2 linked regions of the Drosophila melanogaster genome follow. The protein of the gene in region 1 purifies or fractionates together with the protein of each later gene. This does not show direct contact. Each region holds a gene or a part of one and is shown in the gene's direction. Other genes may lie near its edges.

What was found.
Region 2: the proteins of temp (region 1) and Rep purify together in Drosophila melanogaster (affinity purification with western blotting, with the first as the bait; one study listed by BioGRID). This does not show direct contact.

The regions. Positions count from the first base shown.
Region 1 is NC_004354.4:2,258,895-2,265,181, reverse strand, and holds temp (tempura), read left to right. Parts: upstream 1-2,666; 5' UTR 2,667-3,145; coding exon 3,146-3,231; intron 3,232-3,327; coding exon 3,328-3,716; intron 3,717-3,766; coding exon 3,767-4,488; 3' UTR 4,489-4,975; downstream 4,976-6,287. Other genes in the region: CG3071 (uncharacterized protein), read right to left, coding at 611-2,125, 2,194-2,286.
Region 2 is NT_033778.4:19,489,518-19,495,202, forward strand, and holds Rep (Rab escort protein), read left to right. Parts: upstream 1-2,569; 5' UTR 2,570-2,706; coding exon 2,707-2,755; intron 2,756-2,814; coding exon 2,815-3,900; intron 3,901-3,957; coding exon 3,958-4,358; 3' UTR 4,359-4,608; downstream 4,609-5,685. Other genes in the region: Oseg6 (outer segment 6), read right to left, coding at 1-524, 583-1,195, 1,270-1,995, 2,059-2,219; hpo (hippo), read right to left, coding at 5,165-5,685. UniProt on the Drosophila melanogaster protein: Binds unprenylated Rab proteins, presents it to the catalytic component B, and remains bound to it after the geranylgeranyl transfer reaction. The component A is thought to be regenerated by transferring its prenylated Rab to a protein acceptor.

The DNA.
Region 1 (6,287 bases):
CTTTAACTGGTAAGCAAGCAACACAAGGAACGGCATGTTGGGAAAAGTTGACGCGATGTCGATCGGAATAGATATATATATCTATACATACATATAATTATAATTATACATAAATATAAAGATATATATTAATATTAGTGCGAGAGTTTAGCTTAAGCAGAATAATACAGAACGATGCGTCGAAGATGAGCAAATTCTAAGTGTAAATTCGTCTTTCCAAATAATCGTAAAATAACGTAAATCTAACTATAAAAAAGAATTAAAAATGAAACCTAAATCGAGTAGTTGGAGAACGAAAATCGTAAATATTTGCAAGTAAATTACCCATTATATTAAAAAAAAGTTCGTTTTCGCGGGCAGCTGTTTTGCTGCCCCATTAACATTGTTTTTTTTTTTTTATTATGCGTAAAACGGCAGACAAAATTTCATTGTACATTTCAAAACTGAAATTGGCATGCACGACGAAACGTTCATTTTAAGTATGTATTTAATAAAGAAAGATATATACATGCGTAATGGGTATTGAAACTGCTTTATACTTAAACTACTACTACTTATATACTTAATATCAAAGCTATGTGGCTATATCGTTGTTCTACGTCGGCCTGGGTCACTCAACTAAGACCACATAATTTTGCGCCGCCACGGAGGGATGCATCTTAGGTGTCTTTGTCTCCACATAGGTGGGCTTATGGGCTACCTCGCTATTGTCCATTGAAATCCCAATGAGCATATCCACAGCACCCTTCATCCGCATCAGCTCGGCGGTGAGCCTCACCTCCTCCTGCATTGCAAGTGACAATCGTTGCAAGGCTTTCATCAGCTTCTGGCTGTAGGCCACCAATCGTTGCTCGAAGACATCAAGGACCGTGCTCGCGGCCATCATCAGCGGGCGCATGAATCGCACCTCGCCCAAGTGGTTGCAAATGAAGTCGATGAATCGGACAAGCGCTGCCTCATGACGACCCGTGAGGGCTTTTCCCAGTGATCCACGGTGCAGAAGGTCCGTGATGACAGCCACAATGAGCTCCGGCTGGTATTGCATCTTCTGCGCATTCATCACGTCGTCCAAAGCCTTCTTGTGGTTAAACTGGCGCAAGTGCACATCGTAGGATTTCAATCCAGGCCCCTTGACGTGGTCCTTGATGGTGTGATCAACCTCTTGGGTGTTGTTCGTGCGTTTCGTACTCACGAAGTACTTTCGAGCGCGATCCGCACGAATCTTTTTCAAATGACTGGGCTTGCTGTCTACCATCATGCGACGAATGGAGACTAGACCATCGACCATTCCAGCCACAACTGCTTGATCTCCGTCAGCAACAGCCATGCTGACCACCGCATTGGGATAAGTCAATGTGTGCACTGTTTTGTAGGTGCTCACATCGTAGATTTTCACGTGCCTATCGAGCCCGCCTGAGAGCAATCTCCTGCCATCGGATCCCAGTCGCAGACAAGTTACTGTTTTGTGATGCTGCGACATCATGGTGAGCAGACGGCAGCCGCTGATGAGATCCCATACGCGCACCTGGCTGCCGCCGGCGCTGACGAAAATAGAGCCGTTCGGAAGGAACAACATGGACTCCACCGGAGCTCCGTGATCTAAGGTGCGCTGCACCGCCGTTTCCGCTCTCGTATCGTACAGTTTGATCTTGCCATCGTAGCCGCCGGAGACGAACATATGCCCTGCCTGCGGATGCATGGCGCCTGCACGAACGTAGTCGGTGTGCGTGTCCTCGTACGTTTGCACCACCTTCTCGTTTGCCACGTCCCACAGACGGACCGACTTGTCGTCTCCAAAACTGGCTAGCTGCAGCTTGTCCGCCGTAAAGAAGGTGCGGTGTACTGGTGCCGTGTGTCCCTTGAACAAACGCAAGATGTTGCGACTGGTGGTGTCGAATAGCTTGACATGGCCCTCCTCGTCGCCGGCGGCCAGGAGTCGACCATCCTGCCGGAAGGTGGCGCCGTATGCGGTCTTTTGGAATCGGGAAAGGTTCTTTACCACAAGCATGGTCACCAGGTTGTAAATCTGAACGCGCACCGAACAGGTCACAACAAAGTTGTCAGGATCGCTTGGACTGAAGTCCAAATAATCGATGGTGTTGTGCTCCTTGAGTAGTTCTGGTTTCTGTGGAATGCAGAGGGGAAACAATGATTTGGTTGCCGAGCCTCTCTGCCTAGTCCTATACAACTCACCGCCAGTCGGTCCCAGTACACCGTATCCGGCGTTTCCACCTGGGCCCGCTGTCGAAAACGCCGTGTGTTCAGTGGAAGAAAGGAGTTCTGCATCCTGTCTGTGTATTTCTACTAAATCTCTTTCGGGCGCGCACGTGTTAGATGGGAAGAGTGTGACCAGCGGAATGTAACAGTGGTGGCAAACATTTTGGTTTTTAGCCAAATCCGCGTGCACACAAATACGGAGGTGCTCATTGAATTCAATAAATTTTCTTAAATATCTTAATCATTCTGCTATCAACTGTTTATTAAACGCATATACTTAAGAAATAATTCCGTTAATACTGAAAAAATATATGAATGTAGCAAATGTACTGATAATACTGACTGTAGAAAAAAGGAAAAAAAAATTGAAAAATTCTAATGTCCCAGCTAATGCCTGCTTTCAATAGCCATTTTCCCGACAGTTGGTTCTGACGTCGCGGTTAGTAGGTTATCGTGGCAAGTGCCTCCTCTGTTGTTGTGCACACCAAACACATGTTTGCAAACAAACATATGCTCACCGTCGCCAAAAAAAGGGAACACATTTCCGAGCTTGCGGACCGATCCGCCGGAGAACCGCGCTTTGGGGTGAACCAGATTGACAGCCCCTCGCACTGGGCACTGAAATAATAATAATAATAAAGGCTAGATCTCGTGTCCAGGCCCCGGCTTAATTGAAATTTATTTGTTGTGATGCGGCCGCCTTTGGGGGTTCCATAGTCGCGTAGACAGGGTTCCAGCCTCCGCCATCTTCTCCTCTTCCTCCCCTTTCCAAATCTTAATTAACCGGAGACATTGAGCATGTTCATATTAATTGGAGGCAATCAATGTGCCTGAGACCCTCGAATCGAACGGAACGGAAGCGAGATCCCCGAGGAAGCAAAAACCACATCCCCATTGAAATTCCACGTTCGGACTATACTCAAATTCCATGGAGGAGGAACGCAACGAGAAAAAGGTGCTCTGCGAGAAGATCATCAGGGACATCAATGCGGTGTTCCTCAAGGATCAGGATCTGTGAGTCCAGCATTTAGTTCTACTATAGATCTAATCAGACTGTTAGCAATGAAAGCAAGCCTTGATGTCCGAATATATTGTTCTTTTCTCCACCAGCGCCTCCTTTGAAATTATACCCAAAGAAGCCAACTGCAACAAATCGCCGGTTGTGCATGTGGAGCACAATCTGGGCCTGGAATCGTGGTGTGCCCAGCATGTCTACGACCACGCCCACCGCACCCTCATCTCCCATCGCCGTCAAACCACGGCGCAACAGCTGCGGACGCTGCAGCAGCAGCAGCAGAGCGACTCCCTGGCCAAATACCTAAACGTGGCTCTGCTGATTAATCCCGATGTGACCACCTTTTGGCACATCCGCCGTCAGCTGGTGCAAAAGAATCGGCTGAGCATCAACAAGGAGCTGCAGTTCTCCGCACTCGTGCTCTCAATCAAACCGAAGTCCAATGAAGCATTCGCCTACCGCCGTTGGCTGTACTCATTTCAAAGTAAGTGGACGTCGGCAACTGGGGATCCCATTTCATTCCATTATTTCCAGGTGCCGATGCTATTGACTGGCCCAATGAGATCGGGATATGCGAAAGGGCCGCCGATAGATGCGCCAGCAACTATCACGCCTGGTCGCACCGCCAGTGGATCCTTCAGAACGGCCCATGCCTGCTGCAATCGGAACTGCTACGCACGGAGAAGTTTATGCGGAAGCACATCAGTGACTACAGCTGCTACCACTACCGCCAAGTGCTCCTGAGTCGTGCATATGAGCTCAGTTTTGCCCTTCCCAAGGATTCCGGAGCCAGTGGTTCGTCTACGTTGGCCAGTCTGCAGCATCTAATGACAAGCTATGGCCTGGAATGTGAAGCCAACGCTGAGGATCTGCTGGGTCTCTTGCTACCACATGTGGATCTGAGTTCCGTGAGCAAGCAAAGGCTAATATCATTTCTTTACTGCTGCAACGTTGCCGCCAACGATATGCGTCTGTGTGCCGAGCAGCGCTTGATGTACGGATCGCGGGATTGCTTCGAGCTGCATCGCCGTGCGGCACTCAAGTTCATCGTGGAGCAGTGCGTGCGCCTGCAAATGGGCTTGCCCAATGGCCAACTGTTACCAGTGGCGTCAGGCGATCTGCGTTCGCATTTGGGCAACTTTGACTTTGAAGATAATCCGTTTTTAAGTGCCGTACGGCGCGAGGAGTCCACCCTGGGTGGTAAGCACCGGCGGTGGTGCAATCTTCACCTCAGCTTTGGATATCCAGCGGACTAGACAGCGCGACCTGATAAAGCTCAAATCAATCTACCCCAATAGAATTACTCACTCCCGGCCTTTCCGTTTGCCCATCCGTTCTGAAATGTGGCAAGTGTATAAAGACGTGTGTTTTATTTCCTATCTAATTATCGTCCCAAAAATACAGAAACTTGTGCAAGACAAATTGTTAAAGAGTAAAATACTAGAAAGGAAGACGATTCAAAACGGATTTGGAAACGGAAATGCCTCTATTCTACTCTACTATAAATGTGCGATCCAAAGACAAAGTTCAACTAGCCCGATATGACAACGGATCTCACTGGTCCGCCAATTGCATTTCGATATCTATTAGCGTTACCTGTTCGTTTCTGTTCTTAATCTGATCCGGGCACGATTTGTTAGCCCTTTGTTCAGAAGTAAAACTTAACCGATTATCGCCATGCCATGCACGTGTTTGTTGTTAGCCAATTGCAGTTAGTTTTTAAATAAATCCAAATCATAGACGACGCCTTTTTTATGCAGTTTTGAACGTCGAGCCAGTTCGGCTCGTTCATTTCGAGAATATCGATTCGGTAATGGCCGTAATGAGCACTCAAAATGCATTGTATGGGGGTTTCTTTTGCGCAGAGCAGTTGTAATATGGGATGGTATCGTTTTGTGGCGGTGCAGCCACAGCCATGACATCCCATCCCTTCCCCGAGTGAACTGGGGATTGTGGGGTAACGAGTATCGATTGCGCATGCCTGGGATGCGAGGTGGGATGTGCGAGATGCTGCCGAAGGCCTGAGATGACAACAATTTCAGCAGCGGACTCAGAATCGCCAGGCCGTAATCCCTACCAGCTTTTCAGTGTGTTTCTGGAGCAGTTCGCGTGCGGCGGTGTTTTGTGGAGTGTTGAGTGGCGAAAGTGCTGGCTTCTTTGAAGGCTTACAAACAATTTGTTTCCGACTCGTCGAAAAAAAGTGCATTCCAGTCAACCGAGAAATCAAAAGTAATAAACAAAGTATATTATTCGATTTTTTTTTTTAGTTTGCTGAACGGGGTTCCGTTTGTGGATACATGTGTACAGGCCAAGAGGATTTCAAGGGAGCATTGCATCGAGAGTGTGTGTGCGCTTTTCTGTGCCCGTCTTTGTTTGGTTTTAAAATATTCATATTCGTTTTCCATCCGCCCTCTTTGCATTTTTTATAACTCCCACCCACTTTTCCTGGCCCAAGGGGCGTGGGCCCAAAACTACGCCTCCATCGCAGTTCACTTCATGGGTGTGTGGTGTTCGTGAGGGGTGGGGGTTAGTTTATGATGTTTATGAGTTGATTATGGGCTGCAAAGTACTGTGCCATTGTCTTCGGGACCTGTTCCCTCCGGGCATCCCCAGGATCTTGTCCTGCACCATCCCGTCGTGTCCTGGAAATATACCTCGGAATACCTGACCCTGGGGCACCATCGGCTGCACATGTGTAGATAACACAAAATGGACACACCTGATGATTTTGTGCCAGTGTGGGGGGTGGGGTGTGTGTGCGAAGTTCCTACGGCCAAGGGAGCTATACTCGCGGCTGCACTAATAGCAGCGGCTAATAGGCACATTATTGAGTTGCCAAGTAATCCTACTAGTGGAAACTCAATCTAATTGGTGAGCATTAAGGTGCCACTTCCTTAGGACTTCAATCAGATTAGGATTAGCTAGCCTAGAAGCTTATTATTCCCACCATCCTATTTTTGCGACCGCGAGTGCCAGTGAATGTGCCAGAATGTAGTGAGTAAGTAACGGTAACGGCAACGGAAAGAACATGTGCGCATACGTAGGGCCTATGGCC
Region 2 (5,685 bases), on another chromosome or scaffold:
CTGCTCTGATTCATCTGCTTGCACAGCTTGTAGGCTTCATCGTAGTTTCTCAGCTTCAGGAGCATCTGAAGATTTGCTGCCTGACTGTTGCTGGGATTCACGACGTGGGTACTGAGTGACTGTGTGGCATACTGGCCACCATCTATATGCAAAGCCATTTCTCCGCCGCAGAGCAGCAGAGGAAATTGACCCGGATTCAGTTTGGACTCACCCACCATCAGGGTGTGTGTCCCTTGTACAGAATGCCGCACAAAGACGTGCGTATTGACGATTCTAGCATCGTAGCTGATGAAGATATTCGGCTGCGTGAGATCCCAAAGACAGCCAAGGCACTGCTTGGGAATGTCCGGAATGAGGAGGGCCTCCTCGACAACAGGTAGGAAAACATAACCCTGGGAATGATCATCTATAAAAATAACCTTGGTGCCTTCGATGTCCATGAAGAGCTGCCGGATGCCCATACTGTGTCTGTAGATTGTGCAGCTGTCCCATTTTTCCAGGGAATAGAACACCAGGTGACCAATCTGGAATAATATTATAAATTATTATGCAAAGAACAAACCAACTTTTCCAACTACACACATCTGTTGCAAAAATCAGAAGCTCCTGGCTAAGTGCAAAGCACGTGATCACCGCATCACTGGGCATATTGGGCAGAGCTGTTGGAAAAACCGCCTGCAGCTTGTCCTTGCAGTTTGGATTGTCGGCGGCAATGGCCTGAAGGATTAGTTGTGGTGGACACAAAGCGGCACAGTAGTCCGCATTCAGTTTCATGCTCTCCACGCTGCGCGGAAAATCGCGTTCGCTTAGTGGACGAGGCTCCTCGCCCAAACTCTTCCCGAGATCATAAAACCATACGTGCTTTTCAATTCCTGTAGCAAAGTTGTATGGCCCCACGGCCATGAAGGTAGGCTCACCCTCCAGAGGCAAGCGGAAAGGCAGCGACTTTGTCTTGTCCGGTGCGTAAACATAGATGGACACCTCGGCGAGACTGCTCAACAGCACAATCCGAGGTGCAGAGACGGCGAAGAGATGAGGCAGCTTGGTCACATAGATGTACACAGTACCATGGTTTGTTGTAACCGCCAATAGTTGACCATCGGGCGACCAATCGATCATCTGAACACCGGCATGATCTGGCACGGTAATAATGCGTTCAGTCTCCTGGAGATTCGTTATTGAATGAATCTTAATGCTGCTTAAAAAATGTGAATATTAACATACGAATGTTTCCTAACAGGTTTTATAGATAAGAATATAAGTACTTACCTGTCATCCCCGCAGGAGGCAACTATATCTAACGTCGGGCAGTATGCCAATCCGGTCAAGCTGTCCTTGTGGTTCTTCACCTGCCAGAGCTCCTGTCCGACGTCCTTGGGATGCGTAGAGATGGCCACTACATGTCCGTTGGAAAAGCCCAGCAGGATATACCCATCGCCAAACCACTTGTGCTGCATCAGCGATCCGTATCGGCTCTGGAAGCCCAGCTCCGTAGGATTCTCGGGCTCGGGCAAATAGTAGAGAAACAGAGTACGCTTGCCGATGATCATGCTGATGGCATTGTCCCCCGCAATACGTTCGTCATTGGCCATTTCGGCGAAGTACATGTCGGTGGGCGCATCTCTTAGCTGGACTACGCGCACTGTGTCGCCATCCTCGTTGCTCAACGAGAAGCTCTTGTCCTCCGAACCGAGAGCCAACAGATTCTGGGCGGACCAGGCGCCGCAAGTGATTCGTTTGCTGTGCTTGCCCAGAACCGGTGTGGGTCGCTTTCCACTGCTATGATTATAAATGGCCAGATTACCGCGTCCTGTGCCGACGGCCAGTAGTTGTTGCTGCTTGGACCAGAGAATGCACGTGAGGGGATCTCGAAGGCCCGTCTCCACACTGATCTTTTCCTGGCTGTTATAGTCCCACAACGTTATGTTTGGGGAGCCACTGGTAATGATGCCCAGCAGGTCACCCTCTTGGTCCCAGGCGAATCCTGAGCACAGCCTGGAGAAGAGATTCCATTACTGGTCATTATTCATTATTACGTAGAGATTGAGCATAGCTCACCCAGAAAGTATGATGCGCTGCACCAGTTGGCCCTGTCGATTGTACAGGGCCACCGATCCATCGGTACCAGTTGTGGCCAGCAAAGCCTTCTGCCAAATGAAGTACACATCTCCGATCCCGTGCGGTTCCTCATATTTGTAAAGGATCTTTTCAAAGGACATTATTGGCTTTACGTTTCTGCTGCGTTAGTGTACATTCTGCAATTTTTAATTTTCCGGCTTTTGTTTACGAATTTTCCGTTTCCATGGTAGCGGCGACTACAACTACAAGCACAATTCCCCCCACCTGTATGTGTGCATTTTTATTGCACCTGTTGATTTGGGCATTGGGAAATTCAGTATTTTTGTAATACGCCTGCGATAACTATTGAATTAGACAATTTTTAATACATTTAAATGCTTAAAGAGTTGTAATGCAATGCTAAACTCCGTATGGAATAATTACAAAAGTTTAATTATATTTCAAATTTCAAACAACTTTATAACGTTTTGTTTCGTTAGCCAATACTATGAACAGCTGTTTGTTGATGACGTCATCGCTAGCTGCGCATCTGTAAACAGCTGCTTAAGTAAATTCGCAATAAATTCACGGAATACTTTATTTATCCGTAAATATAGTTTAAATATCAGTGCAAATAAGGCTTAGAACATGTTGGATGACCTGCCGGAGCAGTTTGACCTGGTCGTCATAGGCACAGGTAATTAAGAAGATTTGAAAAGAACCACAGATGAGTCATTCGAGGGACGCCCTTTTCAGGCTTCACCGAGTCCTGCATCGCCGCTGCGGGCAGCAGGATAGGCAAATCGGTGCTCCACCTGGATAGTAATGAGTACTACGGGGATGTTTGGAGCTCCTTCTCTATGGATGCTCTATGTGCCCGCTTGGACCAGGAAGTCGAGCCTCATTCTGCATTGCGAAACGCAAGGTACACCTGGCATTCCATGGAAAAAGAATCAGAAACAGATGCACAATCCTGGAATAGGGACTCAGTGCTGGCCAAGTCGCGACGCTTCAGCTTGGATCTATGCCCGCGCATTTTATACGCAGCCGGGGAGCTGGTGCAGTTGCTCATCAAGTCGAACATCTGCCGCTATGCTGAATTCCGAGCCGTGGACCATGTGTGCATGCGCCACAATGGTGAAATTGTGTCCGTGCCCTGCTCCCGTAGCGATGTCTTCAACACCAAAACACTGACCATCGTGGAAAAGCGCTTGCTGATGAAATTTCTCACCGCCTGCAACGATTACGGCGAGGACAAGTGCAACGAGGACTCGTTGGAATTCCGGGGACGAACGTTTCTGGAATATTTGCAGGCGCAGCGGGTGACCGAAAAGATATCGTCGTGCGTGATGCAGGCCATTGCCATGTGCGGCCCCAGCACCAGCTTCGAGGAGGGTATGCAGCGCACACAACGATTTCTGGGCAGTCTGGGCCGCTATGGCAACACACCCTTTCTCTTTCCCATGTATGGCTGCGGGGAATTGCCGCAGTGCTTCTGCCGTTTGTGCGCTGTTTATGGTGGCATTTACTGCCTAAAGCGAGCCGTTGACGACATTGCCTTAGATTCCAATTCGAATGAGTTCCTGCTGAGCAGCGCAGGGAAAACTTTGCGTGCCAAGAATGTGGTCTCTGCCCCTGGCTATACACCAGTTTCAAAGGGCATCGAGTTGAAGCCGCACATCTCACGTGGCTTGTTCATATCGTCCAGTCCCCTGGGCAATGAGGAGCTGAACAAGGGAGGTGGTGGTGTAAATCTTCTTCGACTACTTGACAATGAAGGTGGACGGGAAGCCTTCCTAATACAACTGTCGCACTACACGGGAGCCTGTCCCGAGGGTTTATGTAAGAAACTTAAGAAAATATGTGAATTATTCCTTTTTAATGAATTAATTTTTACAGATATCTTCCATCTGACCACGCCAGCGTTGAGCGAGGATCCAGCGTCTGATCTAGCCATTTTCACTAGCCAACTCTTCGATCAATCAGACGCACAAATAATATTTAGCTCATACTTCACAATTGCTGCCCAGTCTAGTAAAAGTCCCGCTGCCGAGCATATTTACTACACCGATCCACCTACCTACGAGCTGGATTATGACGCGGCCATTGCCAATGCTCGCGACATATTTGGCAAAATGTTCCCAGATGCCGACTTTTTGCCACGAGCCCCAGATCCAGAGGAGATTGTCGTGGATGGTGAAGACCCTAGTGCCTTGAACGAGCACACTTTGCCCGAAGATTTGCGGGCACAATTGCACGACATGCAGCAGGCAACTCAGGAAATGGATATACAAGAGTAGTCATACTAAAATAAAAAGGAGGTTTCCTTGGTCTACATATATCATTACTTATTACAAAATTTTCTTAAGTATCTTTCGAATAAGTTATATATTGTATGCAATTTTTTGATTCATATATTCCTATATATTTATTATGTAAATTATTTATAATTGCTAAAAGTACTAGGTATATATAAATGTTTAAATGTGAGTGTTTCTGTGCATTTTGCTTTGATAAATATATGTTCGAAAAATATGCATTCCAATGCGTATAAAAATGTTTCTCCTTTATAAGTATTGCTTGACGGGTTACTGTTTTTATCGCACGAAGACAGAAAATAAGTGTTTTAGAGATAAAGGTTAATAGTTACCAAGGAAGAACGAATATTATAAGTCTTATTAAATTATGATAAGGCCTGGGCAGTTCACAATACGGGCAGCTACAATAAACGCAAGATAAATTTTATTCGAGCATACCTATTTATATTAAAAGACAGATCAATGAAAGCTAGGATATAAGAAACCAAGCATAAATTTGATGAAATCTAACAGAAAATATGCTTTCGTGCTGGAAGATACTGCCGATGACTCCTCTTTTCTGTTTTCACTGCATTTTACAATAAAGCTTTTGTGTTTTCATTTCTTGTGATTGATTTTAGACCCTTCCACCAGGTTAAATTTGCACAATGCACGAATAATTTCTAGAGGATACAGATGATGGGTCTGTAAGATTCAGTATTCATCTGCAAACTTAACCCAATGTAGAGGCAATTGAGTGAGTTGAGATTTCATAATCAGTTGTCTTGCGAAATTGTGAGTTGCTTTACCTATATCTTAATCAGATTATTATTGATGTTCTGCTGGCGTTTGCGCTTTGCATTCATGGCGTCAACAATTGGCTGCCGCTTGGCATTGTATTTCTTGTTTAGCTGTTCGATCTCCAGCTCCATTTCGTGATCGATGTTGCACAGCCGCTGGTTCAGATCGTCGAAGGTAAGGAACTTGAGGAACTCAAACTCACCCTCAACATAGGCGTGCGATTGCGTATGCATATGCTGATTCTGATATGCGGGCGGCGGTTGAGCTGGAGCCGCTGCCGGTATTCCCTGCTGTCCCATTGGCGCAGCGTTGCTGAGCAGCAGATTCGGTTGATTGTTGAGCGCGATGAGTTGTTCGTTCATCAGGGGATAAGCCATCAGAACTTGCTGCTGCTGCTGGTGCTGCTGCAGACCATACTGATTAATGGCGGAGATCTGCTGGAACTGCATTTCCATGTTGTGCTCCCAGTTGTTCAAATCGTTGGCCCCGCTTGCCAGATGCTGTTCATCCTGCTGTTGTTGTTGCTGCT